Linked DNA regions of Arabidopsis thaliana. The protein of the gene in region 2 interacts with the protein of the main gene of each other region in a pairwise test. Each region holds a gene or a part of one and is shown on either strand. Other genes may lie near its edges.

The links.
Region 1: the proteins of PYL6 (region 2) and HAI3 interact in binary tests that used the Arabidopsis thaliana proteins (3 or more experiments, as listed by UniProt).
Region 3: the proteins of PYL6 (region 2) and PP2CA interact in binary tests that used the Arabidopsis thaliana proteins (3 or more experiments, as listed by UniProt).
Region 4: the proteins of PYL6 (region 2) and G6PD3 interact in binary tests that used the Arabidopsis thaliana proteins (3 or more experiments, as listed by UniProt).

The regions. Positions count from the first base shown.
Region 1 is NC_003071.7:12,605,553-12,612,775, forward strand, and holds HAI3 (highly ABA-induced PP2C protein 3), read left to right. Parts: upstream 1-3,122; 5' UTR 3,123-3,302; coding exon 3,303-3,671; intron 3,672-3,759; coding exon 3,760-4,077; intron 4,078-4,170; coding exon 4,171-4,572; 3' UTR 4,573-4,798; downstream 4,799-7,223. Other genes in the region: AT2G29370 (NAD(P)-binding Rossmann-fold superfamily protein), read left to right, coding at 507-598, 823-1,030, 1,137-1,353, 1,432-1,538, 1,629-1,811; SMO2-2 (sterol 4-alpha-methyl-oxidase 2-2), read right to left, coding at 5,206-5,260, 5,345-5,461, 5,521-5,733, 5,829-5,948, 6,115-6,260, 6,451-6,588, 7,218-7,223.
Region 2 is NC_003071.7:16,842,700-16,849,902, reverse strand, and holds PYL6 (PYR1-like 6), read left to right. Parts: upstream 1-3,708; 5' UTR 3,709-4,078; coding exon 4,079-4,726; 3' UTR 4,727-5,315; downstream 5,316-7,203. Other genes in the region: DREB2C (Integrase-type DNA-binding superfamily protein), read left to right, coding at 53-96, 236-1,238. UniProt on the Arabidopsis thaliana protein: Receptor for abscisic acid (ABA) required for ABA-mediated responses such as stomatal closure and germination inhibition.
Region 3 is NC_003074.8:3,580,088-3,587,524, forward strand, and holds PP2CA (protein phosphatase 2CA), read right to left. Parts: upstream 5,764-7,437; 5' UTR 5,563-5,763; coding exon 5,119-5,562; intron 5,034-5,118; coding exon 4,698-5,033; intron 4,606-4,697; coding exon 4,500-4,605; intron 4,408-4,499; coding exon 4,094-4,407; 3' UTR 3,695-4,093; downstream 1-3,694. Other genes in the region: EIF3G1 (eukaryotic translation initiation factor 3G1), read left to right, coding at 1-279; AT3G11405 (uncharacterized protein), read left to right, coding at 808-1,272. UniProt on the Arabidopsis thaliana protein: Major negative regulator of abscisic acid (ABA) responses during seed germination and cold acclimation. Confers insensitivity to ABA.
Region 4 is NC_003070.9:8,605,405-8,614,168, reverse strand, and holds G6PD3 (glucose-6-phosphate dehydrogenase 3), read right to left. Parts: upstream 4,832-8,764; 5' UTR 4,675-4,831; coding exon 4,461-4,674; intron 4,263-4,460; coding exon 4,045-4,262; intron 3,961-4,044; coding exon 3,866-3,960; intron 3,755-3,865; coding exon 3,640-3,754; exon of another isoform or gene 3,369-3,639; coding exon 3,163-3,368; intron 3,078-3,162; coding exon 2,928-3,077; intron 2,841-2,927; coding exon 2,720-2,840; intron 2,647-2,719; coding exon 2,417-2,646; intron 2,343-2,416; coding exon 2,142-2,342; intron 2,036-2,141; coding exon 1,786-2,035; 3' UTR 1,589-1,785; downstream 1-1,588. Other genes in the region: AT1G24290 (AAA-type ATPase family protein), read left to right, coding at 1-1,519; AT1G24270 (uncharacterized protein), read left to right, coding at 5,426-6,046; AT1G24267 (bZIP transcription factor, putative (DUF1664)), read left to right, coding at 6,928-6,970, 7,427-7,500, 7,584-7,661, 7,783-7,858, 7,935-7,999, 8,220-8,321, 8,463-8,552, 8,654-8,741. UniProt on the Arabidopsis thaliana protein: Catalyzes the rate-limiting step of the oxidative pentose-phosphate pathway, which represents a route for the dissimilation of carbohydrates besides glycolysis.

The DNA.
Region 1 (7,223 bases), 4.2 Mb from region 2:
GTCAGGTGCTCACATTTTTATTTGTTGTATCTCAATATGAAAATGATTGTATAGAAAATGAAGAAACGAAGGCTAAGTGTGCCTTTTTTATTATTTAAATAGTTTGTATATGACTTCAAAATATATCCAAACACAGATACTTTGGAATTTATAATGACAGTTGACATCTAAAAAAACCTGTAAATTGGAAGGTTTAAGCATATGTCTAATTATTATTTATCCTTTTCGTTTTTTATATTGTACATTCATTTTTTACCACTCTCAAATATGAACTTTGTATTTAGTTCTAATAAAATTATGAAGTTTTAAATACTCAACCGACTGGACTGGTACAACCAACCATCCAATAATGATGTCGAATCCGATATTTTGTCCCCATTTACAACACACTTGCATGGTTACGTGTGATATTATAATATGTATAAACGGTCTATAATTTTTCCTATACCGAGTTACAAATAAGAATCTCCATGAATAGATATCTGCTCTGTGGCTGATAACCAAAAATGGCAAAGAGAGGGGAAAGCTTGAGAGACAAACCTAAATGGAGTCTTGAAGGCATGACTGCTCTTGTTACCGGTGGATCTAAAGGCCTCGGGTCAGTCCCAATTTTTCTACCTTAATTACTTACTTCCCTATAATTTCAGTACCGAAACTGAGCTCTGATTTCAATCATGTATAGACTTTCGTTTTATTTGTTAATACGGCTCAATCATAGACTTATGTGGATCTTTTGATAGTATTTCTATGTTTAATCAAATCAACCCCTGAAAAGATCAAAGGCTTAATGATATGTATAAATTCATATTGATGTATAAATAGAAAAGCTGTGGTGGAGGAACTAGCCATGTTGGGAGCAAGAGTTCACACATGTGCCAGAGACGAAACTCAGCTTCAAGAAAGCTTACGTGAATGGCAAGCAAAAGGGTTACAAGTCACCACTTCTGTTTGCGATGTTTCTTCTCGTGACCAGCGAGAGAAACTCATGGAAACTGTTTCCTCTCTCTTCCAAGGAAAACTCAGCATCCTCGTAAGTGTGTGTGTGTATATATATAAGCTTCTCCTCCTCCTCGTCTATGAGCTTGGATCGACAATGACCAAAATCATGTTGAATTTTGTTTGCTTCGTTTGTATAGGTACCCAATGTGGGAATAGGTGTACTAAAGCCGACGACTGAGTGTACAGCAGAAGAGTTCTCATTTATAATAGCTACAAATCTGGAGTCAACTTTCCATTTCTCGCAACTCGCGCATCCTTTATTGAAAGCCTCTGGTTCAGGGAACATTGTGCTCATGTCTTCCGTGGCTGGAGTTGTAAATTTGGGTAATACATCAATCTATGGAGCAACCAAAGGTATAATTATACGCATACTCGAACAATTTATGATTCTTTGCTTCTATCGCGACTTAAATAAATGTATACGCATTCTAGGAGCCATGAATCAGCTGGCGAGAAATTTAGCATGCGAGTGGGCGAGTGATAATATAAGGGCTAATTCTGTTTGTCCATGGTTCATTACAACTCCGTCAACTAAAGATGTAAGACAATGAATAAGAAAATACATTTCATTTATAGTATGAAAAAATGGTTTAACTATTTCTTACGAAGTTTATGTGAAAATGTTTCAGTTCCTCGGTGATAAAGATGTAAAAGAAAAGGTGGAGAGTGTGACACCATTGAGACGTGTTGGAGAGGCAAATGAAGTATCATCGCTTGTTGCATTTCTATGTCTTCCCGCAGCTTCTTATATAACAGGTCAAACCATTTGCGTTGATGGAGGTTTCACTATTAACGGCTTCTCTTTGCCTTAAACACGTATATATGCATATATTCATGCTTAAATTTATGTGATTAATTAGTGGTTTCACTGCATATTAATTCATACAAGTTTTATATGTAACTTATGTTGAGGGAGCTCACTCCGTTCATGCCTTCTAATGTTTGGACGAAGAACTCAATCTTTTATCTTATCGGATAAGAAGTTACTTGTGTTCACATTTGATGTTTGTTCGTTTCCAATCGTATTGTGACTTTTGATATATAAAATAATTATTGTATATATTCTACTTATGATATATGATTATATAGTCATGTAATGATGACCGTACGATTTTCAACTCTAGTATCCCTATCTTTAGGGGGTTATGGCTAAAAGCCTAAAAAGATTACTTTTGCTAAAGGAGTAAAGATTATGTTCATAATTTTTTTTAATTTATATAAATTTATTATTATTATTCTCACGCATAACACAAAACAAAGAAAGAATTATCTTCATAATTATATATATATATATATATATATTTGATATAAATTTATTATTATTATTATTCTCACGCATAGCACAAAACAAGTTTCTTCTATATATCAACTAAACTAAAAGACATGTCGTTGGAAACATACTCATATATCATATTCAAGGACTCATAATAATAGACATGTAAACAAAATATTCCTTAAATTTTCTAAATTCAAAAACAAACTATATATGTAACTTGTTATTTAATCTTCTTGGGTATATAAAACTTTATCGCATTTCTTGGATATTTGGACGATGAGAATTCAAATTGCTTTGTCGATGATAAATTTGTTTAATAATTGTTCAGACTGCCATCACAACATAGCTGATTACTGTCATATAAGTCATACATATTATATTTCCGATGATTCTCTGGACTCTCAAGACAATAATAATAAAAATTCAGATATAAGTTTATTAAGGTTTTCTTTGTTAACGTGTTTACTGTCTAGGGACAAACATAAATTATTAGCACTAAACTTGTTAGGTTTTGAAAGTAAACACTGATTTATACCTAAACTTAGGTTATTCATGTAATCAAATGTGAAAACTAACGTAATGAAATTCCTCTAGTTATTTAAATACAGAAAACAAAACCTACCTTGCGGGGAAAAGCATCGTGGCGCGAAAGGAAACTTCCTATGATCCGTCATCCGTGCCGTCTCAATTTGATTGGACCACGAATCTCGCACTCGATACTGACGCCTTACGTGGATTACTTTTTTTATAGAAAGAATTTAAAATTGTTTCTGAAGAGGCAGGTTTTGTGTATAAAATAGAGAATGCAAGTAACGTGTAATGACATTATTTCTCAAATTGAATGGTTTTCGAGCATTTTTATTAACCAGTGAAGCAACCAAAACAGGAATCACCAGTTCTTGAAAGAGTTCATCAAAAAAGAAAACATTTCTTGAAACATCTAAGAAAGAGTTTTGTTCTTCTTGATCAGAAATACAGAGCAAAATCCATTTGAAGACATCAAAGTTTAAGGTTTTTTTCCCCGGATATGGCCGAGATATGTTACGAAGTAGTGACCGACGCATGTCCGTCGTCGGTTTATGAATCAACGCCGGCACATTCACGGCGGAGGCCGAGATTCCAAACGGTGATGCATGAAGATTGGGAGAAGAATTGTAAGCGTAGTAAACAGGAGGCTTTAGCTACGAGATACTCTTCAATTCCTCGAAGCTCTCGGGAGGATTTCTCTGACCAAAATGTCGACGTATCCAGTCCAAGATACGGTGTTTCTTCGGTGTGCGGTAGAAGAAGAGAGATGGAAGATGCGGTGGCAATTCATCCTTCATTTTCTTCTCCGAAGAATTCGGAATTTCCTCAACACTACTTTGGTGTGTATGACGGCCATGGTTGTTCCCACGTACGACTCCGTTACCATGCATTCTTACGTTTTCCGAAATTCTATGTTTTCAGTTTTAGCTGATACGAAATCTTTTTTTTTTCCTTAGGTTGCAGCAAGGTGTAGAGAGAGGCTTCACAAGCTGGTGCAAGAAGAACTAAGTTCAGATATGGAAGATGAAGAAGAATGGAAAACGACGATGGAGCGTAGCTTCACACGCATGGATAAGGAAGTTGTATCGTGGGGTGATTCCGTCGTGACTGCAAATTGCAAGTGTGATCTACAAACACCGGCTTGTGATTCCGTCGGATCAACCGCTGTTGTCTCAGTCATTACGCCAGATAAGATCGTTGTCGCCAATTGTGGCGATTCCAGAGCAGTTCTCTGCCGCAATGGGAAACCAGTCCCTTTATCAACCGATCACAAGGTCAGTTCCGTTCAAAACATGTTCAGTTTCATTTAAGCAATGATTGGATTTGTGGATTAACTTGGAGATTGTGTTCTTTGTAATGAAACACAGCCTGATCGGCCAGACGAATTGGATCGAATCGAAGGAGCTGGTGGACGAGTCATATATTGGGACTGTCCAAGAGTTCTCGGAGTCTTAGCAATGTCACGAGCAATAGGAGACAACTATTTGAAACCTTACGTGAGTTGCGAGCCGGAGGTAACCATAACGGACAGGAGAGACGATGACTGCCTCATACTAGCTAGTGATGGTTTATGGGATGTTGTGTCAAACGAGACCGCCTGCTCTGTAGCGCGTATGTGTCTCCGTGGTGGTGGGAGAAGACAAGATAATGAGGATCCGGCGATTTCGGACAAGGCTTGTACGGAAGCGTCAGTATTGCTAACAAAGCTGGCGTTGGCAAGGAACAGTAGTGACAACGTCAGTGTCGTTGTGATTGATCTCAGAAGATAAGGACACGTAAGTGGACACTAGTCGAAGAGGAAGACAATTTTGCTTTAACTTTCTATATCAGTTTTGCTTTTTGGTTATTCTTGGAATACGTTGGTTGTATACAAAATTAACCCGATTTTATGGAAACCCCGAAAAAGGGTTAATTAATAGAAATGATAAGAATTATTCTTGTCAACCCTAATCCTGTTTCGTGTATGCTTATAATCTTAAATCAAATCAAATTAAGAAGGTCGACATGTAAAAGCATTTTGCTTTAAAAAAGATTGTCAGACTATACTATACCTTTTACTTTTAGGCATTAAGATACTTTAAGAGGTACTTAGTCTCTGCCGCTAGGCAAAGACATGAGAGTAGATCATAGGTTCTAAATGCAATTATGAGTATTAGCAGTATCTAAAGAATAAGAAAAACAGTAAGCAGTAGTAACAACAAGTCCAATAGAAACGAGGTCACGTATAAATTTCAACATCGAATCGACTTCAGACTAGCAGCTTTGATTGTACAACCCAAATTGTAGCAAATAATGATGTTCTTATGACTAAAGTTGAGGAAATGGTAGAGACAAAACAAAAGAAAGAAGGTTTTTTGAGAACAAGACCTCTCTCGGGAATCGAATTTCACGTTTGTTTGTTGTCAGGTTTCTTTTAGGGCCTTAAGTTTTCTGTAACCTTTATCGGTGCCAAAGATCCTGAAGTAACATAGATAAACATATTTACATGTTTATTATAGTTATGACTTCTGTTAAAGTAAGAAACAGAGTTCAATAATTTACCAGTCCATGTAAACAAACGTTGATGAGTAGTTGCCAGACTTTGTGTAGAGTAATCGATGATGGTAGTCATGGAAGTCAGCACTGTAAGCAAATGATTCCCACATTAATATTAAAGATCTGTTAGGTTTAAGGTGTTGCTCTTTCAAGGCAATCACAGGTTAGAAGTCTTATCTTACCCGCCGTATAGAGGAAGAAAATTCGAGGGGCTCCATGGGAAATGATAACCACAATGTGCCTCAACTGTCTCAATAACTCTGAGCATCATCCATAACCAAAGGGTGATCAGGTGAGGCCCGGTGAGAGCCGGACCAACAATGGTAGCAAAACCAAGGAACAGAATTTCAGCGGGATGAGCATATTCTGATGTCAAACCAAACGGTGTCGCGTACCTGTATATAAGTAATACCATAAGATTGTTTATTGAGGACCATGAGTGAACTAACATTGTCAAGCACAAAAAAGATGGTGAGTACTGATAGCTTACTCATGATGCACACTGTGCACGTTCTTGTAGAGCCATTTAGTATGCAAGATCCTGTGACCCCAATAGAATACAAAATCCTCAATGATGAAGTAGAATAAGATCTGGGCAGACACCACTTTCCTGCAAGAGCGTCACCAGATATAGTTTCATAAACCAGATCAAACATAATGCAGGTTCTTCTCATGCAGCTCAACACTGACATTTTATATATATTGCCCATTGGAAGAGTTTAACATCAGAACCCAAAGGCAAAAAAAGCTTTCAGCACTAAAGAACCTGATAATACCAGGACGGCAGAGGAAAACTGCTTTCCATGCCCATGAATCTGAATACAGGATACGACGCCATCATGAGGGGCAAGTTTACGCAGCAATGGTAAAGTAATAGTCGAGCAATGCATTTTCCCTGGGCTTCAGGAGTATTACTTTTGGTCTGCAAAAGACCAAACAAGAGTACTTGATAAATCTAGAAGACAAGCTAAACCAGTTATCACTTTGACATTACCATTGGGGAAATGAGAACACTGACAACTTGGTGATATCTTTCCATTCAGTTTATATTTGAACAGACACACAAAGCTATTAGTTAGAAGACCACTGAATCATGAGAAGAAAAGACAAACCTGAATTTTGTAGTTGCTCAGAAAACCAGTCCTTTCTAGGAAAATGTAAGGGAGTCCAGACAAGAAAAACACGCTTTCATGAAGTATAAAACTCCCAATACACGCCAGTTGAAAGTCACTGAAATGCGTAACAAGGTACTGCATCATCGCCACAAAGAAGGGTCAGTGTCACAGCTAGAACTGTCAAACTAAAGAGCTAAACATGATTGCCAAAGGGAGATAAAATTTGTTCAATTCCACGAAAACTGAAGGCAATTGTATATCATTGACACCATCCATCCAGTCACTCACGCAGAAAAGCAAGTTAAGAAGACGTTCAAGGAAAACCTATTGCTTATCAACACGTATCACAATCACAGATCCTCTAAGCTAGTCCAAGCTCCAACAACAATACATAAATCCCACTCAAATTCCAAAAAAAAATACAAGCACAAACAGAGATCACATACGAAATCAGTAATAATCTGTAACTAGAACAGTCAAATCCAGATCTGAAACCACAACGCAATCGACACGAAACCAATTCAATCTCAACATAAAGGGACCACAACAATACAATACGATGGACCACAGACGACAAACACAAAATCAACCTAACACGGCAGATACTAATCCCGTACCTACACTTGTATCATAAATGCAGTACACTCAAGTCGCCAGAGACCGAGAAACAAAAAACACGATTCAATCTCTGAAAACAAAACAAAAAAAAAAAACGTAGGAATCGCATACAAAGGAACGCGACGAGATAGAGGAATACGAAGTACCTTCCA
Region 2 (7,203 bases):
TTAATCTGTTCGTGATGGAGTTTCTTTCTTGCTCGCTGTGATGCTGCAGATTATGAAAACTTCTTCTTGTAGCTACTTCGGTGTAATTACGTTCAGGTGGTTAAAAATTGTTTCTTTGAAAGGTGCTTTGATCCGAAGTATAGTTGAACCTGTTGCTTGAAATTTTGTGAAGAGAGAAAATTGGAGTTCTCGAGCATGTTGCTAATCTTGCTTCTATCCCCTTTGATTCTACCAGGAAAAGGAAGTCTCGTGGAACACGAGATGTAGCTGAGATTCTAAGGCAATGGAGAGAGTACAATGAGCAGATTGAGGCAGAATCTTGTATCGATGGTGGTGGTCCAAAATCAATCCGAAAGCCTCCTCCAAAAGGTTCGAGGAAGGGTTGTATGAAAGGTAAAGGTGGACCTGAAAACGGGATTTGTGACTATAGAGGAGTTAGACAGAGGAGATGGGGTAAATGGGTTGCTGAGATCCGTGAGCCAGACGGAGGTGCTAGGTTGTGGCTCGGTACTTTCTCCAGTTCATATGAAGCTGCATTGGCTTATGACGAGGCGGCCAAAGCTATATATGGTCAGTCTGCCAGACTCAATCTTCCCGAGATCACAAATCGCTCTTCTTCGACTGCTGCCACTGCCACTGTGTCAGGCTCGGTTACTGCATTTTCTGATGAATCTGAAGTTTGTGCACGTGAGGATACAAATGCAAGTTCAGGTTTTGGTCAGGTGAAACTAGAGGATTGTAGCGATGAATATGTTCTCTTAGATAGTTCTCAGTGTATTAAAGAGGAGCTGAAAGGAAAAGAGGAAGTGAGGGAAGAACATAACTTGGCTGTTGGTTTTGGAATTGGACAGGACTCGAAAAGGGAGACTTTGGATGCTTGGTTGATGGGAAATGGCAATGAACAAGAACCATTGGAGTTTGGTGTGGATGAAACGTTTGATATTAATGAGCTATTGGGTATATTAAACGACAACAATGTGTCTGGTCAAGAGACAATGCAGTATCAAGTGGATAGACACCCAAATTTCAGTTACCAAACGCAGTTTCCAAATTCTAACTTGCTCGGGAGCCTCAACCCTATGGAGATTGCTCAACCAGGAGTTGATTATGGATGTCCTTATGTGCAGCCCAGTGATATGGAGAACTATGGTATTGATTTAGACCATCGCAGGTTCAATGATCTTGACATACAGGACTTGGATTTTGGAGGAGACAAAGATGTTCATGGATCTACATAAGATTTCAAATTTCGTTTGACTGGCCTAAGTTTGTGATTCTGCTCCGAGACGGTGTAGCTGTTACTAGCTAGAAGCTGCCCTTCTTTGAAGCTACTGATACTTTCTGATATTAATGGTTGTGAGACGTAGTACATGTAGTTAGGTAATGTAGGACAAGTTCAAATATGATTCCTTCTTTCTTTTTCTTGTGAATACATATGACATATGAAGAAGTTCAAACGTTGGGTTTAGAAAAAGTTTATAACATTCGGTACATATCAAAGTTTTGAACTTCGGATGCATATAAGCTATAAAGTTTTGATCTTTGAACTTTGGATACTCTCACATCTAATTTTCATCCTTAAGAATGGAGATGGAATAATGCGATGTTGCGTAGTGGTTTTATTGACTTGGCAAGTTTTGATTATTCAAGAAACTTGGCTTAGTTTAATGGAAATATCCAGTAGTGGAGTTTTTTGGTCTGCAGACTTTCCTCAGGTTGTCTGAGATTACATAAGCAATGAGGTATGAATAATAAAGTTATCATTAGAGAGTTATCTATCTGTATTTTCTACAAAAGGCAAATTGGGTATTTGAAAGTGCAAATGGGACATAGTTGTATATTATTTAAAAGGCTTTAACTATTCCATTCTGGTCTCCAAAATCGTTTTTCTTGCTCGAATCTTGAAGATCTTCTAAGCCTTTAGAAAAATGAAGAAATCAAGTTGGCAAACTGTTAATTAATTAAATCCAATGAATTGGTGGGTATTGCACCTCCACAAGTTCCCTTTGACAATGTGTCCTCTTCTCCGCAAGAATGAGATGCAACTATTTTGGACAATTTCTCCTTTTAATTACTTTTTGATCGATAATCTTCTCTTAATATCACGTTGTAATCTGATTCATTCAAATATCTATCGAAATTTAAGCTTATCTTTGATTTTTTCGATACTTATTTTTGAAATTTTAAGTGCATTTTGTTTATAATCATAGTTGGGGATTTAATAATTTTAGGTGGAATAATATTTTATGCATATTGGAGATTTATTTCTCGAGAAATATTCACAAACAAACAAACAACCGGCTTTTGCACAAAAATAATAATGACATGGAGTCGAGTTGTTTATACTAATGTTTGTCACTATCTCACCATTGGAATTTAAATCTTGGATATATAATACATGTTTTGACAAAAAAAAAAGTTGGCACAAATTATGTTGTTGTAACAAAATACGTCTGATGCATTGATTTGAGATTGACTCTTTGAACCCAAAAATGTATCACCGTAATATTAATACATTTTCCACATCAACTTGTAATCTATTTGTGTTCAGTAATATATTGGTGAGTGATTATGTCACCTAACCCGAAAGCTTATAAGATGAGCAATCTTTATATCGAGGATGGTGCAAAAAATAGCAAATTGTAACTTTTTGTCCTTCTTATTCTATAAAATGTCAGATATAATTAGTACTGCAAATTGCTCGCTTATTCGTATTAATCTTAACAACTAGGGCTACTTGGGAATATGTATAGTTGTTGGAAAAACTAATGCATTAGATAACCCTTTATTATTTTTCCCAATTGTGTTTTGTTATTATGCCCACCACTCAAATCCAAGAGTCCAATATATTCATATGATTTGAATATACGTTTGTGGAAGAAAACACACCCAAGAAATATTGTCCAATTCGTAAATTTCCCTGACTTTACGTTGGTTACTTTTAGCAAACTGCTTAGTTTGATTTTCTTCTAATTCGTCTTATTAATATTCTGTTCTTTTCTTTGTTGAAAAGGAATTTGATTAATACTTTTTTTAGTATCGTCGAAAGGCTCAAGTTGATTACAAGATGAGGAAAGATTATTATGATGGACCCATGACATGATATCTTCACCAACTTGGAACATTGAAAGTCCTATGGAGTTATTTTTGAAATTTTTACCTTAGTCAGAAGGTTCCAACAAAATTAAAAATCCACCAAAAACGCATCCAAGAATAGTACCAACTGAAAATAGATCGGCAATCACAAAGACAAAGGTCGGTCCTCCCAACCAATTTGTTTCAAGAATTTTTTCAAACCTATGCATAAATTAAGTATAGCTCTTAACCAATATATATAGCTTAACCAACTCGACACATAGTGATCATGTTCTTATAATCTTTAATAACGTTTTAGAGTTAGCTATATATATAGCCTCGAGACAGTAGAAGATTGAAATATCTATGCAAAACCTCAAAGATAATGTTCAATGTTTTTATATTCTGAATATTGATATAATCGGTGAGATAGAGATGAGTTCAGAATTTTTTTCTCGGTATCTTAAATGATATTGATTTCATTTTCTCAACTTTCATTCAAGAGTGTTTTTGGTTAAAACATAAAAACGTCCATTCTAATTATAGTAATGCTTGTGTGGTTACGACAACATGCTCATTCATTGTAATAAACTGGTGAAATATATAGCACCATTGACAAATAGACAGCCTCAGTAACAAAGCAAGGAAAAACAAAATTAAAATTTAATAACCGGTTATATTAAATATCGAGAACCAGTCCGTAGAATTTCATGGGAAACCGGGCCGGTCCTTGATATAAAGAAAGAGAGAGACGTTTCTTAACTGAAGCAGTACACAAACTCCAAACAAATCCCAAGTGGACAACCGAAGAACCCACACAAACTAACTCTCTTTCCTAATCCACATACTTGCATTTTTATATATAAACACTCTGTCCTTATATAGTTCTGTATATTACATGTAAATATCTCTCATTAATACAACCTCACGAAGAAAACCATTTGTTTTCTTAGAGAGAGCCAAGAATATTAAAAGAGATATAGAGAAAAGATTTGCTTTAATAATGCCAACGTCGATACAGTTTCAGAGATCCTCCACCGCCGCAGAAGCAGCCAACGCCACCGTAAGAAACTATCCCCACCACCATCAGAAACAGGTTCAAAAAGTGAGCCTCACGCGCGGGATGGCTGATGTGCCGGAGCACGTGGAGCTTTCCCACACGCACGTGGTTGGTCCTTCTCAGTGCTTCTCCGTCGTGGTACAAGACGTGGAGGCTCCGGTTTCCACAGTCTGGTCGATCCTAAGCCGCTTCGAACACCCTCAAGCGTACAAACACTTCGTGAAAAGCTGCCACGTGGTTATCGGAGACGGTCGAGAGGTTGGGTCGGTGAGAGAGGTCAGAGTCGTCTCTGGTCTCCCCGCGGCGTTTAGCTTAGAGCGGCTTGAGATCATGGACGATGATCGCCACGTCATCAGTTTCAGCGTCGTTGGTGGGGACCACAGACTCATGAACTACAAGTCGGTGACGACGGTGCATGAGTCGGAGGAGGACTCCGACGGCAAGAAGAGGACACGTGTCGTTGAGTCATACGTCGTTGACGTACCGGCGGGTAACGATAAGGAAGAGACTTGTAGCTTTGCTGATACTATAGTACGGTGCAACTTGCAATCGCTGGCTAAACTCGCCGAGAACACTTCTAAATTCTCGTAATTACATTTTTTCAATCTTTTTATTTTTATTTTATTTTCTATATTTCTCTCTTTCAAAATTTATCTTTTATTTTTGGGATTCTCGAGGTGGTTTTGGATTTTAAGATTTAAGTATTTAACTATCGTCGGGGATTTTTCGAAACTAAAACAAAAAACAAGAATTATATCAAACAAGATGGTTTTGGTTTTTCGAAGTTAGGGTTTTTAGGGTCTGTTAAATGTATGTCTCAACGATACTTTGGTTTTACCCTTAAAACCATTTCTTCTTGTACAGCTCTCGTAGCTTTATTATATAAACATTGATTGTTTAGTTATTTTCATAATCTTCTTCTTGCGCCGTATTTTACATATTTATTATTTGTCTTTTAATTTAGTTAATCATGAAACAATATAGACTATATAGTGATTCAGCTATAATGCATGGGGTATATTGTTACGATATTTCCGATATTATTATGTCTAATTTCATTAATTTTGATAACCTACATAATAATGTATTACACAAACAATTTGATTAATATAATCATTGGCATATCTACTATATATGAAGAGATCTGAACAATTGTGGGCAATCAGAAAACCCATACATGTGCTGATTGAGATGATTCGTTTTCCTTTATGTTAAGAGAAGAACAAAGTAAAACTATACATCATTTGAATTTTATTGAAATGTATAAACAGTAGAATACTACTTGGTGTTTTAAATGAATTTGCTCACCAGCTATATAATCAAAGCGTTCAATCCTAAAAGCAAAGATGGAATAATATCAATTAGTGATAATTAAACTTGAACCAAGGCGTAATGCATGTATTGAGTTATGTGATATAATCTTAAGAATTTTCTTTATGGCATATATAATGCTAGGCCAAAATAAATGGTGTCAGGTAATACAGCATTATATCTTTAATTCCCTAATTTGGAAACGTAAAATTTTCAAATTATTTGTCATTTCATCAACAAACTTTACATAAATACGTAAATGTTTTGTTTTTACTCACCAAAAAAATAAATCAAAATTATTTACATACCAAAATGATAAAATTTCTTAGTTCCTTTTATAGTTTTGGGATGCGTGAACCGTTTCAATAATTCAAATGTCAAAATTATTACTTTTTCGGATTTCCTTGTCCTATATATTAGTTCATGAATAAAAATGTACATTTGAAAAATCAAATAACTTTATCTAGTTATATAAATATAAAGAATCCAATGAACAAGATGAAAAGACATTCAAAGTTTGCAAAAGCAAAATGTGTTTAGTTACTTTATAATTAAGTAGTAAGATTTCGAGACTTGTGAACCAAATTCAAAATTGAATACATATATAGACATTCATGTATATGATCGTACGTAAAATGCAAGTTGGGGTGTAATAAAATCCAACTTGTTATAGAAAAAAAACAAAGCATGCAAGTTGCAAAGGAAAAAAAAAAAAGTCGCTACTATTCTTTGACACCTTTAAAAAATATTCCATAAATAAAAAAAAGGTTAAAGAAAAATCAAATTGATTACATAAATGATTATTAATTTATTATCATAATGAGTACGAAATATATATGTAAACATTGTCGTGGAAGGAAGGAATTGCAAGTTGATATGCAAGTTGGCAAGGAGGCTATTAATGTTTTCCCTCTTTTGGTCGTTTGTATAATGACATTTAAACCCACCCACCTTTCTTATTTTCTTTTCTGTCTTCCTATTTCTGATCACTATTATTATATTACTTATATTTTATTTCACATTTTTTTTAATTTTATAAACCCATAAGAAATTTTTTTCCCTTTTATTTACATATGAAAACATATGTATTCCCGTGTCAAAAAAATGAAAATTCTGACCAATCCAGAGAGATACGATTTATGGGGTTTGTATATTCCAATGTGGCATGTTGCATATAAACTACTACTATTTAACTAGTTTCTTAATAATTCAAATCCAAATAAACATGCATAAAAGATTGTGATAACGTACATAGCTGTGATATAATATGCATTACTTTTAAAAAGCAACGGAGATAGTTCGTATTTTCATATAGTCTTTAGCTGGGCTATCTAACACTTTAACTAATTAGAATAAGATATAAAGTTTGCTATAAAATGTAAATAGATGATTTATCCAATATATACATATGAGTGTGTCTGAAAAAGGCAAACCAAATTCAATGTAACGTGAAGAACACCGCCTCCTTCCTTAAAGTTTATTGGGGATAGATATTTTCGTCCATGATTTTAACTTCTACGATTTTAGGTTTGGAAGCATTTCGGTGTGAGTGGTGTGTAATGTTGAAAACATCAACGCGGATAAAAATCTTCTATATAGTAATTGAAAATTATCAAATACGATTTTAAAATTAATGAAAACGTCGATTTACTATTTGTTTATTAGGTTTATATACATGGTTTGCTACCAAAAATATAAAATTCTGAATATATGAGTTCACAGTTCATTCGCTTCAAAATAATATTTTCATTACCTTC
Region 3 (7,437 bases), on a different chromosome or scaffold from region 2:
GGTTCAGACATGAGGAGGAGGAACGATGAGAACTCTGTGCGTGTAACCAATCTGTCCGAGGATACCCGTGAACCTGACTTGATGGAGCTGTTCCACCCGTTTGGAGCTGTCACACGTGTCTATGTGGCCATTGATCAGAAAACTGGAGTGAGCAGAGGATTTGGTTTCGTCAATTTCGTGAGCAGAGAAGACGCTCAAAGAGCAATCAACAAATTGAATGGTTATGGTTATGATAACCTCATCCTCAGGGTTGAATGGGCAACTCCAAGACCAACCTAGAAAGAAATGTCTGATGTTGAGACCTTAAAACTCTTCTCATTCTCGTCTTTCTTGTTATGGATTTTTGTTTATCGACCAGTTTGTTTGTTGGTTTGGTTTCTGTATGAATAGATGAGAATTTGTTCAATTTCTCTTTAATACATAAGGCATGCTTTTTAAAAAATGGATTTGTGTGATACGTAAGAGTTTTCCAACACTTTTTTCATTGATGTCTAAAATTATTTGTGATGTTTGTTTAACATTCCCCGTTTCACAAAAATATTGTTTGACTTTTACTTTTTCGTTCTAAGATATCAATCAAAATAATAATCTTTATTAATGAAGAATATAACTAATTAACAAATGTTAGTACGTATATTCTTTTAATTGTAATTATAACATTTTCGTATCATTATGTAAAAATAAGAAAATTTCCTTTGTTAAATTTAGTCGAAAAAGTAAAATTTCCATTTATTTTTAACTGCATATATATCAGCTTAAGTAATTTCTTCTTAGTAGAAGGTCAAATTTTAGAATTTCATTGAAACAATGGAAAAGGTTTCAAAACTCAGTATTATCTTCCGTGACGAACTACAAAACTTCAACAATGACTATGTCGAAAATATAGATGTCGTCGGCAAAAAAACATCTAATTCATCATCGGACAATGAAAGCGACCAATTCGCCAGCTTGTTTGGTTCTTCGTCACCGTCTTCGTTTCAAATGCCTCTTCAGTACCCGAATTACGCAAAGGAACAGTACGACATTATGTCGGAGGAAGAACTCGATCGACTTCTCAAACTCTATGGTCTGCCTACAGATATCGGTAACTTGTCCTGCAAAAAAGAATTTGCAGTGGGTGCATTCTTGTGGGAGACGGGGTTAAATTCTTCTCTGGATGAGCATGATTCAGTAAACCCTAATTCGTCCATTGATGATTTGGAAGAGAGATCTTTGATAGGGTTAGTGACAGTTCTAGTAAAGGATATGGTTCAATTTATATTCCGTGGGTAGCAAGTTAAGGAAGTGAAAGCCTAATTTTGCTTGACCCTAAAGTTTCGTTTCTTGTTGTTTATATGGATGGATTTCAATTATTATGATTTACTATATCATATTATTTAATTTGCTTCGCCGTAAGCTATCGTCTGTTTCCTTTTCTTTTCTTTTTTATCGTCTGTTTTCTTACAACCGAACAAAAGTTAAAACCAAATTGAATAGGGAAAGAAAAATATGGTTTATATATTGCGGTTTGGAGAAACTAGTCGGGACAAGTTTCTTCTTAAACAATATATAAAAAGGACCAGCGACTCTAGCTGAGAGAATAATCTTGTTTTATATGTTTTAAAAACTGTATACCAATGAGAGAAACAAAAGCTTCAAATAAAACTTAGCTAGGACCAAAATCGACCAAGAAGGATAATAAGAGCAAGAGATAGACTTTGAAAACAAAGTAAAATCTATCTAATTAGATATAGAAGCATTATCTAAAAATATAAATAGAGAAATTCTAAAACACAAAAACAGTTTAAAGTTTCTTGTTGGGACCATTCTTCACTATGAAACTGCATCATAAATTCATAATCTGAGAGACTGAGACCCTTTCAAATCATTAAGATGATGATGTTACGTTCTGCTTATGGTGTTCTTATATGGTTTGTATTTGATTAGTATTTCTTTACTTCAGTTATTTAAATTTAAAGTCATTTTAATTTTTTATGCTCTTTAATTCATAAATTCATAAATTCATAAAAGAAAATATTTTTTTTTAGAATGTGTTCTACGTTTGGAATCAAATATCGTCAGTAAACAAATCCTTCTCCGTTTTATTAAACCTTTGCATAATATACAAATTTAAAAATGAAAACAATGATTATAGGTTTTACGGCCTATGCATCTTTTCTTTACCTTTTATCATTGATGGACTACTACAGTTGGTGAAAAGTCTTATTTAACAAATTTAGTCGAACAATTCACTTGTATGTTTGCACCGTTGAGCTAAAATCGTCTACCAACTATATTTGGTTTAAAATGTTATTTTTAACAATTTTAGAGCATTTCAATTGTGTATTTTGTAGTGAATATAGCTATATCTTTCAGGCAACATCGTCAAAAGGCTGACCAAGTTTCTCTATTATGTCCCAAACACATGTAATTAACGACATTTTAAGTTAACTTAAATCTATACTAGCAATGGATTTTATGTAGGAAAAAGTATAAAGTTAGTTGTTTTGCTAAAACTAGACTTATGATATAAAACCAAACTTATTGTTAACATTTTTAATGTAGCACAAGGAACTCACGATGTCATGTAAGCCTTCCTCAATACTATAAAGTAAGAACCATTAGGGACATGAATAGATATTTAATAAGACAAATTGAGACAACATTATGATGTATAGCGAAAAAAGGGAAAGAATAATTGAGAAAGAGAGGTCAACATCAAATCTTGGAAACCAAATCTCACATAGACCAAATAGACACGTGTTGCTATTTGATTGTCACAAGTAGGCATAATCTTATCTAAGCTCCCACTTGTGTTGTGTCCCTCTCAATCCCCAACTTTTATTGTGTTGCCCTCTCACTCTTTCCACAAACCCAACAGGCAACAGCTAAAAAAATCAATCCATCATTATAACATTATGCGAATTCCGATCTAATAATTTTATGGCAGTGCCTTATCTTTTGATGGTGAAATCTCCAAACTTCGACCAATTGTGATGTATTGGATTATCCAATCGAACTTTTCACGCGTGGGGATATAAATTTACCGTAGTTTTGGTTCAAATGTGGTATTTTCATATCCAAAAGATGCTAGGTTTACGAAAAATGTCTTCAACAAAACCCCATAATAATTGTTGGTTTAGAAAACAAAACATAACCTAACGTATGATTAATACCTAACAAACATTAATGTGAAGGGTTTATAAAAACATGATTGAATAGAATAAGATTTTATTATCTGGTCATTGTGGCAACTGGCAAGTGGCTAGTAATGGACGGTTAAAAGTATGTATTATTTTTTGTTCAAGTTGATATTAATTTATTTATAAAAGAATGTGAAGATCATATTCCTTTTTCTTACCCTCCTAGTTGATATTTTCTAGTCAATTTAATCAAAATCTGTTTAATTGATTATTGATTCCGACCTTAACTGACATTAAGCATTCGACAATGTTGCCAGACAAGTCTCTTAACTTAACTATCTTCATTAGTATTAAAAGAATTAATAAATCATTGTACTTTCTAGTTCTTATATTGATTGTCCAGATTAGTCTCTTCCACCAAGATATATATATATTTTTGTTGATTTATGTTTCTAATATTATCCTTGAATCTTTTAATTACAATTATGTGCTAAAATGCCGCGGTCTACGACACGCGAGTCTCCCATACGACCCCATACCAATAAAATAAATAAAATCTTCTTAAGATAGGGGAAGATTAGTAAGTAACCGGTTTGGATTCAAATCATCGTCGAGACTCATACTAAACCAGTTCGGATCGAATAACATTAACCGAAGTTTTAAAATGGTAAATACGCATAATCTGTTCTTTCATTTTAACATTTTTCCCCTCTGAATTAGATTATTACATTTCCAACGACCATACTAAAAGAATACATGTATAATATTACCTGAATAGAAAAATAAGAAAAATACTCAAACTATTTAATCAGCTCTTTTTCTTCCCCAGCCTGAATTAAGAGCTAACTAAAATAGAAAAGAAAAAACACCTTAAAATGAGAAAAACTAAAATAGAAAAATAAAAAGAATACAATTACAATTAGGCTATGTAACAATTATTCTAATACTACTACTAATTATAACACTAATTATTAAGACGACGCTTGATTATTCCTCCTCTTCCTCAAGTCAACCACAACGACGCTCACGTTATCGGAGCTCTGTCTTGCTAGAGCCAACTTTGTTAAGAGCAACGCCGCATCGGAGCACGCATTGTGCGCCGCATCTGAGTCGTCACCCGCACCAGCACCTCGAAGGCACATGCGAGCCACGCCACACGCCGTCTCGTTTGGTACAACATCCCATAGTCCATCACTCGCCAAGATCAAACACTCATCCTCATCAGTTCGATCCGTCACTGTTACCTCCGGATCCGGAATCACATACGGTTTCAAGTAATTATCACCTATACAAACAAAAACAATAATCATCAGATTAAATTCAAACGTGTAATTCAAAATAGCCTAAAAAGTCAAATCACAAGAGAGATTCACTCACCAATTGCTCTAGACATGGCAAGAACTCCAAGAACCCTAGCTCCATCCCAATATATAACTCGCCCACCAGCTTGTTGGATCCGAATCAATTCATCGGGTCGATCCGGCTGTTCATCACAAAACAAAAACTCTTAGAACCATGCCATCTTGATTCATACTAACCAATTCGTAATTCTATATAAGACATAATTTTAACTACCTTGTGATCTACGGAGAGAGGAATGGCTACACCGTTACGACAAAGCACAGCCCGTGAATCACCGCAATTAGAAACAATGATCTTCTCCGGCGTGACAACCGATACAACAGCGGTGGATCCGACGGCGTCACACTGAGGAGACTGCAATTCACATCTACAAGAATTTTTCATACTCCGAGTAGCACCATTAACAACTAAGTTACACTCTCGTTGGCTAACTTCTTTATCCATTTTTTGAAAACTCTTAACCATCGTCTCTGTCCACTCGTCGGAAGCCATAACTTCAACTTCCTTCTTCACTATATCATGCAACCGTTCTCTGCACTTCTCCGCAACCTAAAATCAACCAAACAAAACCCTAATTAGTAACTAATCACAAACAAAAGAAAAAAATATTACTAAACAGAGGAAATTAACGTACATGAGAGCAGCCATGGCCGTCAAAGACACCGTAGAAATGATGATTCTCAGAGTTCCGTTGAAGAAACGAAGGATGAATCGAGACAGCGTCTTCCATGTCTCGTCTTCTACCACAAACCGACGTCGTACCGATCTTAGGTACATCGGAAAAGAAACTCTCTGCTTCCGTAACAGAATTTGAATTCGTAACCGCTGATCTAGCCTTCTTATTCTCACTCCTCACATTCGAATCCAGATCTAGATTTCCCGGTAACGTCGAGAGCACTACTGTCTCACGCTTCTGCCGTTTACGGCAGTTTTCAAGCGGAGGAGCAACGGCGGAGTCAGCAACAATTTTGATCGACGGAAGTAGATCTAACCTCCGTCTAAGAGAAGCTCGAGAAGTTGAATCAACCGGTGCCGCCGGTTCAGTCTCTCCAACAACACCGCAACAAATCCCAGCCATTTGATCTCTAACAAAACTTCTCCAATTTACAGAGCAAACCAAAAACAAACAATCTCCGATTATGAGTCTTCTTCAACAATAGAGAGAGAGAGAGAGAGATATTAGTAGAGAGAGATTTTGTTGAGCGTTAGGAAATGCAATGTGATTTTAAAAAGAAAAGGTTTGATTTAAAAAGAAAAGTTGAAGAAGAACGCAAAAAAAAAAAAGGGTTTGATTTTCGCATGGAAGGGTTACACGTAATTAACGGGCAGGGGGGCATGAATAAGGGGAAGTTGCTGACCGTCAGCATCAACGGGCAGGATCCGACACGTACCGTTTGGTGTGACGTTCCATTTCCTGGTACCTAGATACAATCTAAACCGTCCATTCTTTCTTTTTTCCTAGATCTATACACGTGCCCTTTCTTTCTTTTGGATACGCCGTTAACGTGGCCCAATCACAGTTCGACACACCTTAACGGTAACGACCGGCCTTTCTTGACACGCATGTGGTCCACTCTTTCGTTTTGTTCTTTTTTTCTTTTATTTTGTTTCATTTAAATACGCTTAATACAGTATTATGCTGTTAATTAAGATTTAAATAAGTCAGAGGTCAAAATAATGGCCATGGGAGAGAGACAATCTTGTTATAAAATACTGGTTTTAATTATTTTGTCAACTTTTTTATAAATCAGAATAATCACTATGAGATTAATGTAATCGATAAAATCTCTGATAGTAGAAAATTATACAGTATGAGAAAATGTAAACCCCTTCTTTTTCTAGTTATGGAATCCTGAATGGTGAATACTCTGATAGTCTGATTGGTAATGCCAAACAGAATGATAGGTCAGCCCCACTACCCTTAAAACATATAAGAAAAATCTAGTAATATATACGATATGGTTCATATCATTTCACAAACCTAAGCAACATCAATAATACATTTGAATGTTTCCTGTGTTATTTTAAATATTGAACAAACCCGCTTCAATTTGTACAAAAGCGATGCCTCTGAACGTACTATCAAGTATAAATTTGCTTCTAAAATAACGCATCGTGAATCCGTTCCGTGATTACATATTAATCGAGGATATAATTGACATCCAAACTAAAGAAAATTTGCTTCAGAAATAACAATTTTGATCCTATTTGTACAAGAAATAACAAATATATATATCGTAAAAGGTTGATTGTATTGAATTGCCAAAGAGACTATTTGTACAAGAGATGTTGCCTAAAAGAAGATAGAAACGTATCTAACTGAATCTAGGAGAAGAGAAGATTAACATATATTCTAACTCTGATATTATTTCACACATGCAATTTGAAATGTTTAAACAATAAGAGTATATTTATGCTTGAAATTCTGAAATGCACATAAACGAAAATAAATTGGAAAATAGTTACGTGTATCTGATGAGTTCAAACCTCAGCATCAAACACTTCTTTTTTGGTTTTGAATAATTAAAGGTGGGCATTTGGGTTAAGTTCGGGTAAAACCCGATTAGATATGATTTTTTTGGATATAAAAGTTTAAGATTCAATGGGATAAATCCAAAATATCGGTTTGGTTTAAGTTTGTATCCAATCGGTTTTTAATCGGTTTGGATATAAATTTTCAGGGTCCTTTTAGAACCGATATCCGAATTTTTGAGTAAATACCTGAATTTTTGGATAAAATTTTAGATTTCGAATAAATTTAGATTTTCGAATAAAATACCGGTATTTTCGGATTCGACTTAGATTTTTTGGATTAAAAAATTTAGGATCCAATATAGTAAATCTTCGGGTTCAAGTTTAATTTCGAACCCAATATAATAAATCTTCGGCTTTGGTTTTTTTTCTAGTCCTAGTTTTGATGTTAGAATTTCATAACTTGGAAAACGATTAAAAC
Region 4 (8,764 bases), on a different chromosome or scaffold from region 2:
CACCGGCGGAGATTCCATCCAGAAAGCCACCGACTGGATTCTCTCCCACCGTTCTTCCCCTCAATCCACGGCCACGTTACAGCCCAAACTCGACCGCTTCCTCCGTCTCCATCCCAAAGCCCTAGCCCCCGCCATGGGTGACGATTCCAGCAAGCGCCCCAATCCCAAAACCCAAATCCACGTCGCGGCTGATGATTCCAACAAGCGTCACAAGCTCTCATCATCCAGCCACCGCCAACACCAGCCATTGTCGGAGCGTATGCGTCCTCGCACTCTAGATGACGTTGTAGGTCAAGACCATCTCCTCTCTCCCAGCTCTCTCCTCCGTTCCGCCGTCGAATCCAATCGCCTCCCTTCCATTGTCTTCTGGGGTCCTCCTGGCACTGGAAAGACCTCAATCGCAAAGTCTCTCATCAATTCCTCTAAGGACCCGTCTCTGTATCGCTTCGTTTCCTTGTCTGCTGTTACGAGCGGAGTTAAAGATGTTAGAGACGCCGTTGAGAGTGCCAAAAGGCTTAATCTTGAAGGTAGAAAGAGGACTGTGTTGTTTATGGATGAGGTTCATAGGTTTAACAAGTCACAGCAAGATACATTCTTGCCTGTTATTGAAGATGGTAGTATCCTCTTCATTGGAGCCACCACTGAGAACCCTTCTTTCCATTTGATCACTCCTTTGCTCTCACGTTGTAGAGTTCTAACTCTTAATCCCTTGAAACCCAATCATGTTGAGACCCTTCTTAGACGAGCTGTAGATGATTCCGAGAGAGGACTCCCCAATAGCGTTGAGGTTGATGATTCTGTCATAGAGTTCTTGGCTAATAACTGCGATGGTGATGCTCGCGTCGCGTTGAATGCTTTGGAAATCTCAGCTACCATGGCTACCACTCGAGCCGGAACTGATGCTGTTGTGTCTATTGATGATGCGAAGGAGGCTCTTCAGTGCAAACATTTGGCATATGACAAGGCAGGGGAACAACATTACAACCTCATAAGCGCACTTCACAAGTCTATGCGAGGCGGAGATGCTAATGCTGCAATCTACTGGTTGGCTAGAATGCTCGAGGGTGGTGAAGAGCCGCTTTACATTGCAAGGAGACTTATAAGGTTTGCAAGCGAGGACATTGGACTTGCTGACCCTTCAGCTCTTACTCAGGCAGTTGCGTGCTATCAAGCTTCACATTTCTTGGGTATGCCTGAATGCAATGTCATTCTCGCCCAATGCACTGCTTACTTGGCACTGGCTCCTAAATCCATTGCAGTTTACCGAGCAATCGGAGCTGCACAGAAGGTTGTGAAAGACTCGGTTGGACAGAATGAAGGGGTGCCTCTACACCTGAGGAACGCTCCAACCAAGTTAATGAAGGAACTTGGCTATGGAAAAGAGTATATATATCCTCCCAGTGATCCTTCTTCTGCTGCAGGTCAGACATATCTACCTCCGTCTCTTCTGCATCATAAGTTCCTGGAATGGCCAGAAGGGGCTTCAGGCGATTTCCAAGATCAAGAACACAGGCTCTAACCAGTATTTTTTCTCTCTTTTTGGTATGTGATGTATAGAGGATCATGTTGTTCAAGTCTTTGCAGAGGCTACACTTAAATTTGTGTTTCCTTTATTGAAAGCAAAAAGGGTGGCAAGAATAGGGTAGTTCTTACTTATTATTCCAGATACAAAATCGAACAAAACTCACTCCTATCTCTGAAAGCGAAAGAAAGTTTCCATAAACCACACAAATAATGAAAATTCTAAGACGTGAATCTATGAACAAAAAATGTTCTTCCACTCTTTCACTGATCAAGACTTAGGTCTCCCCATTGGACCTTGTGTTTTGCGGCTAGATAATGGGCACCGACTGGACCACGACTGCCGTAAGGATAGAATTCTGGGGTTGTCTTCTTTTCTTCTATCTCTTTGAGCAATGGAGTGAAAAGCGCCCAAGCAGCGTCAAGTTCATCGCTTCTTATGAACAATCTGCGTTCACCTTCGATCGCATCTAACAAAAGCCTCTCATATGCATCTGGAATCTCCTTTGAATACCTTCAACAGAAAAAAGTTATGTGAAACTAGATATAAGCAAAAAAGAACATAAGGATTACATATACAAAACAACACCACAGCTTGTCTTTATTATTTCTTAGCTTACCTTGCTGAATAGAGAAGATTTAAGTTACTCTGATCTAATCTCATTCCTAAACCAGGGACCTTGTTGTTGATTTTCAAATAGATAGCTTCATCAGGTTGGACGCGGATGACAAGCTCATTTGTGGTCTGATCACGATCAGTACCAGAATTCCGGTTATATAAATTTCCAGGCACATGCCTGAACTGGACTCTTATCTCCGCACTGTTTCAATAGATATATTTATATTATTACAAGCAAACCAGAAAATTTGCAAAAAAAATTCCAAAGTTTGGTACCTTCGGGTGTTTAGTGCTTTCCCAGCTTTCATTAGAAAAGGTACACCATCCCATCTTGCATTGTCGATGAAGAGTGCAGCAGCTGCAAATGTCGGGGTCAGACTACCTTTTGGCACAGTTTTATCATCAGTATAGCTTGGATAAGTGACTCCTCCTATGCTGTGGCTCTTGTACTGTCCTATCACCACATCTTCAAGTTTTATTGGTCTCATTGAACGTAGTACCTTTACCTGAATTAATGCGAGGACCTCAAAATACTGCCTTGAAATCAACAAAATTATAAGAAAGGGAACAATAGGAGACCTTTTCATTTCTGATATCCTCTGCATCCAAACTCACAGGTGTTTCCATGGCGAAAAGAGCTAATATCTGAAGCAGATGATTCTGCATTATATCTCTTATTATTCCGTAATTGTCGAAGTACCTGGATTTGAAGAGTAGAAAAGTGTCAAAACATAGGCTTCAACACACATGAGAAATAAAATATTAGACAGAGGACAACAAGGATTACCCTCCGCGTCCTTCAGTGCCGAAATCCTCAGAAAAAATGAATTGCACGTTCCTTATATACTGCCTTGACCATAGCGGTTCAAATATAAGATTTGAGAATCGAAGAACCGACAAGTTCTCAACCAGCTCCTTCCCTAAGTAATGGTCTATCCTGTAAAAATCAACTTTTCGTATCAGCAAGGTATCTTAAACCATCATCACTAAAATTTACAATAACATAAACACGATCTCTCCACCTAAATATTTGGTCTTCCTCCAGGTACTGCTTAAGAGACTTTGTTAATGCAGCCGAGGTTTTGGAGTCCCGGCCAAAAGGTTTCTCGACAATGACCCTAGTCCATCCATTGACAGATGAAGCAGATGAGCTTGCACATTTCACCGCGTCAACAAAGATATTTGGAGGGATTGAAAGATAGAAAAGACGGTTCGAAAGTCTTCCACCCTGCAAATAGTTATGTGATGGATAAGGGCAAATAAGAAAGAAAAAATGTAAGAAGACCAAAGTTTTCTAGTTTTTACTAATTTTTCAGAAACAACAATAGTTTTCCTAATTCTGTATTCAGGCCATAATCTACAGCATATCACCTTACACCTACCAAGGTAACTCATGACCTCAATTAGCCTTCAGAAAAATGAGGCAATGATGCAATGTGGTTGCAAGGAATTCATGAGGAATGCAGAAAAAAACAATAAGCTGAGGAAAACATCAATACCTCATGCTCCTTGAGCTTCTCGTCCAATGCAACAAAATGTTCCTGAGAATCATACTGACCCGAATGGTAAAAACATCTCTTGAGAAACTCTTCCATCTTTTCACCGCAGTTTGCCCTGAACCATCACAGTTAAATGTTAAACAACCCATCTCTGACAAAGTACCAAGGGAAAGAAACCATAAGGACTAATGTCTTGGTGGTTTTAAAAGCTACAATAATTATTCACCTCTTATCAATTCTACATGTCAATGTTTTGCTGACCATAACTCTAAGTTCAGCATCTGTCATCTTACTCCTTGCATAGCCAAAAATGGTAAAATGCTGCGACCAAAAACAGCTTACCACATCAATCAATATAACAATCAATCATCAGAAAGAGAGAAAGATAGAAGAAGTTATTTATACCTCAGGAAGACAGCCTTCATAGTAAAGTGCGAAAAGAGCTGGGAATATTTTCTTCTTGGCAAGATCACCAGAAGCTCCCACCACCGTGATACTAACTGTTGAAAGTTGTTCACCGCCATCAGACTCTGCTACAACCTTGTCAGCTTCAAGTGAAGGAATCGTTAACACCCCTACATCTTTCGCCTCCTCGGACGAGCTTGACTCGGTGGCTACTGATCCTAAACACACAATTGTAAGCGCATTAGAGAACATTCATTACATGCAATGTTTTGTCTAAAGTCGGATACTTTCTATAAGAAAATCTATCTAAAACCAAGCTGAACTACAGGATTCAATCCTATATATACAAGCTTTCAAGTTACCGGCAAAGCAAGGCATAAAGAAGAAAACCCAATTGAGAATCCAATTAAAGTTACCATCTTGCACGACAACAGAACTCTGAACGGACCTCCTCTGCGATCTAACAACACAGAGCTCAGCTAGATTAAGCCCCTGAGGAGAAGCGTAGTGGAAGGAGAGTGAGCGGCGTGGGTCAACAACATTGATCAGCGAAGAATGATGATGATTCGACAAGAAAGGAGACGAAGACGAAGTGCGGGAGCGGTAGGTAGGGCAGGAGAGAGACGACATTTTTCGAATTTGAGACGAGTGTGAGTTATGAATTGGATTTGGATGCAAACAAATCTCACAATTGCACTAATGAGCGAATTTGTAAGGACAATTGTCAAATTTTGAGCCTTTTCACGTCTCCCAAAGGTTATGTCTTTGCCAAATCTGTGTGGTTTTGTTGGTATGGTTTAGTGAAAGGTTATTTGCAAATATTATTATTATTCAATTCACAAGTGGCCCTTTGATTTCTCTTGAAACAAGGATTTGCAACTACTATATTGTTGCATTTTCATGAGCTCTTAAAATTGATAAGCAATACTAGTAGTGGCCCTAAGCAAAAAAAAAAAAATATATATTGGAAGAATTAGATTCGAAATTTGGCTATAATGTCCAAGACCAAACATAGATAACCCTATCGGCTTAGGCATGCATTTCTAATAACACACATTCCGATCAATGACTATGTATGTGTTTAAAACATTGCTTTCATCATATCACATCTAACATTCATTGATACATTGCACAAAAGCCTTGATCTTAAACTTAATAAGTTTATAATAATTATTTATACTTGTCTCATGTAAGTTTATAATCTATTTGCTAAATATTTTTCCATTACAATAAAACTATATCATTGAAAGAAGCATTTTAAAAATCATGCATTTTCGCTGGAGCTATTGTGATTTAGCTCATTTGTGAATTGATTGAATTTGTTAAAAAAAAAAAAAAAATCATGCATGTATATGATGAGCGAGAGACATAATAATGATTAATGAGGGTGAAATACATAAACATGAAAAAAGGCTCTATACTCTGTTTCCTCTTATCTGCGAAAGCCATTAAGGAAAGAAACAATAATCGCAGCAAAGAAAACTCTCTCCTCTGCTTCTCTCTCTCTCTCTATCTAGAAAAGAAAGATTCCTCAAAATCAGCCATGAAAGTAATGAAGAAAGGTAAAGTGCACCCATCTCCTCCTCTTCCATCTTCTTCTTCTTCGAATGGAGATGACTCTCTTTCTGTCTTTAAGCTTCTCCAGAGTGCGATTCTAGTTCTAGTCTCGGTTCTCTCCGCCGAAGATCTGGAAGTTCTTGCTTACTTAATCACCAGGTCACTCAACACCACTAACGTCGTATCTTGCAAGAAGAAGAGAAGCCATAAAGCTCCTCTGCTTGACTGTCAATGTTTTGATTGCTACACAAGTTACTGGTCTAAATGGGATTCTTCGTCTAACCGTGAGCTCATCAACCAGATCATAGAAGCCTTTGAAGATCATCTCACCAGGGACGAGATCTCTGCTTCCCACACTTCCAAGAAAAACAAGAAGAGAGCTAAGAAGATAGAGATATCGGAAGAACAACCTCAAAATAAGAGTATATGGTTATTGGTTAGCTAGTTGAAAAACTGTGCTATTTTGCATCAGGTTTTGCATATTCTTTCTTCTTTTGGGTTGGTGGTAACAACCTCAAAAGAAGAGTGTATGTTTGAATATGTCTTAGTTTCGGAAGGTGGGCCAAAAGAGATGTGTCTTTGTTTGATTAGGCACTTCGAAAAAGTCCAAAGAGAGTCTCGTTTAGATATTTTGGGGAAGGAAACACTTTTCCTATCATGTATTCATGTTACTCTATTTCGGACTTGTATTGCTTTTTTTCCGGTGAAGATTTGGTCCTTTTGGTGGTATAAAAATGAAGAAGATCTATCGAAACTCGAGCATCTTATGAGGTAGATAGGCACAGGACGTCGACGGTTAATAATACATTTGCGACCTATCATATGTATGTGGAATAGATGAAACAAACTATTAATTACTAGGACAACTTCTTGAAGCTTATAACTCTAGCAAAAACGCCTTTGTAATGTCATGTGTGGTCTGCTCTCAGCCTCTCAAGTTGTTTTGTTATCTCGAATTGGTCAAAGTCTCAAATCTCAATAACCTTATGCCTCATGGGCATCTTCTTAGAGCATATTCTAAGGCCTTTTTCTAGGCCCAATAAGAAAATTAATAAAATAAAAGTATTGTATGTCAAGTCACTTGAGGAACACAACACTGTCCCTTCGACAAAACAATTTTGAGTCTCTCTATTCTCTATTCTCTCTCCTCTCCGCCTCTCTTTCTCTCTCTCTCTATCTCCGTCGTCGCAAGAGTGCATCATCTTTAACGCCGGCACCTTCCCGCTGCTCTCTTCTACCAATTCTCTCTTAGATCTTCTCATGCGTCTTCTTCTTATATCTTAATCCTTCGTCGTACAAGCTCGCCGGATTGAGTTTTCGTCTTCCATGGCTATTCCTCTCGGGAAGCTCACCATCCTCATCGGTGCAGGTCAGTACTCTTGTGGGGGTTTTCTTTTTTAGTGATTAATTGATCGGTGCTCGTACTCCTCTCTCGGGTTCTCATTTGTTTCGTAGATGGGGAATTGCATTTAGAGGATGAGAAATTAGGGTTTTTGATAAACCCTTTTATAATGATCACTGTTGCTTCACTGTCTTTCAATCATCGAATCTTCTTCAGCTCAAATTTCAAGTCTTTTGATATTTTTTTAGTGTGCTTCACTTTTGGTTTTCATCTGTTTCTTCGACCAATCAGAAATTGAACAAAGGAACAGTTTTTACTCTCTTGTATGTGTTAGGGGAGATTATTCAGCGTTATTGGAGACTAGTTTATGTTTAATTTCGTTGTGAATGCACCAAAGATGATGAATTTACCCTTTAATGTCTTACTGTTTCGATTAATTTTAGTACATATGCTTAATGTTCAATTCACTTGCTTTTACGTTAGGTCTTGTTGGGTCAGTACTTGCTAAAGAAGGGAGTTTACCAGATGTCTCGAGTTTTGTCTCCGGTGCTCTTAAGGTATTCTAAGTTCTATGTTGTGCAAAAGCTTGTATTTATGATGTTTATTTATAAATGGAGTAATGGTTTATTTCTCTTGATAGATGGTATTTAGGCAGCTGAAGCAAGAAGAACCTGCCAAATCAGCCAGCAAGCCCCGCAATGATACACTAATGGCCCAGGTTTTGATTGATATTAAGCTACTTATTTATGTGGATAGGTTATTAAATTTAGCTGGATAAGATACATTTGTGGAGGACTTGGACTTAGATTTACTTGTCTTATCTCTATTTTTTCTTGTAGGTTAACAGTCTTAGGCATGAATTGAGCTTGCTTTCTTCAAACAGACCTATCACTATTGTTACCACAGCAGGATCAGGTCCTCTAGAGATTTAATGTTGGAAGTTTTGTATTCCTTTCTGCTCCATTTTAACAATTTCCTTACAATTTTCCAGGTGGTAAAAAGTATGGTTACATCATTATAATTGGGGTGATAGGCTACGGATATGTATGGTGGAAGGTAATAATATTTCACCATGCTTGAGCTTCTTACTTACTCGATTAGAGTGCTATTGGCTAGTCTAGATTTTGTATTTTGGAAAACAATTTAACTGTTTTCCTTGCCAATTAATTTGACCTGGCTTGTTTGTTTGTAAGTTAGACCTGGTTTATTTGTTTGTAGTTATTTTCCCTTTTTAAAAAACCTTACTGGGAACTGGTTTATTCTGCAACATTCTCAGGGCTGGAAACTTCCGGATCTTATGTTTGCAACAAGGCGCAGCTTATCAGATGCATGTAATAGTGTTGGCAGCCAGATCGATGGTTTTTACACATCACTCTCGGCAAGTTCTTACTTCCCATATTAGTTATGATAGTTCCTTTTGTGAGCCTAATTCATCCAAATGATAAAGTACCTGTATTTAATTTAGTTGCAGAACATCAGTATTTTGTCTCATTTTGTTGCTGTTAACATTTCATGACAGGGTACCAAAAAAGAGTTAAGTTCAAAAATTGACGGGATGGGTCGTAGTTTGGATGCTAATACAGAAATTATTCAAGATACAGGACGAGAGGTATGTTAGATGAATGTGCACAAACACTTGTGTTTCACTGCGTTGTCAAGGGCTTTCTGATAATTCTAAATGTTATCTTGATAATTTATTTAATTGTTTAGGTGATGGAACTACAAAGAGGTACGGAAAATATTAAGGATGACGTTAAGTTTGTTTTCGATGCTGTTGAAAATCTGGTAAGAAAATTGAGTAAACTGCATATACATTCACCT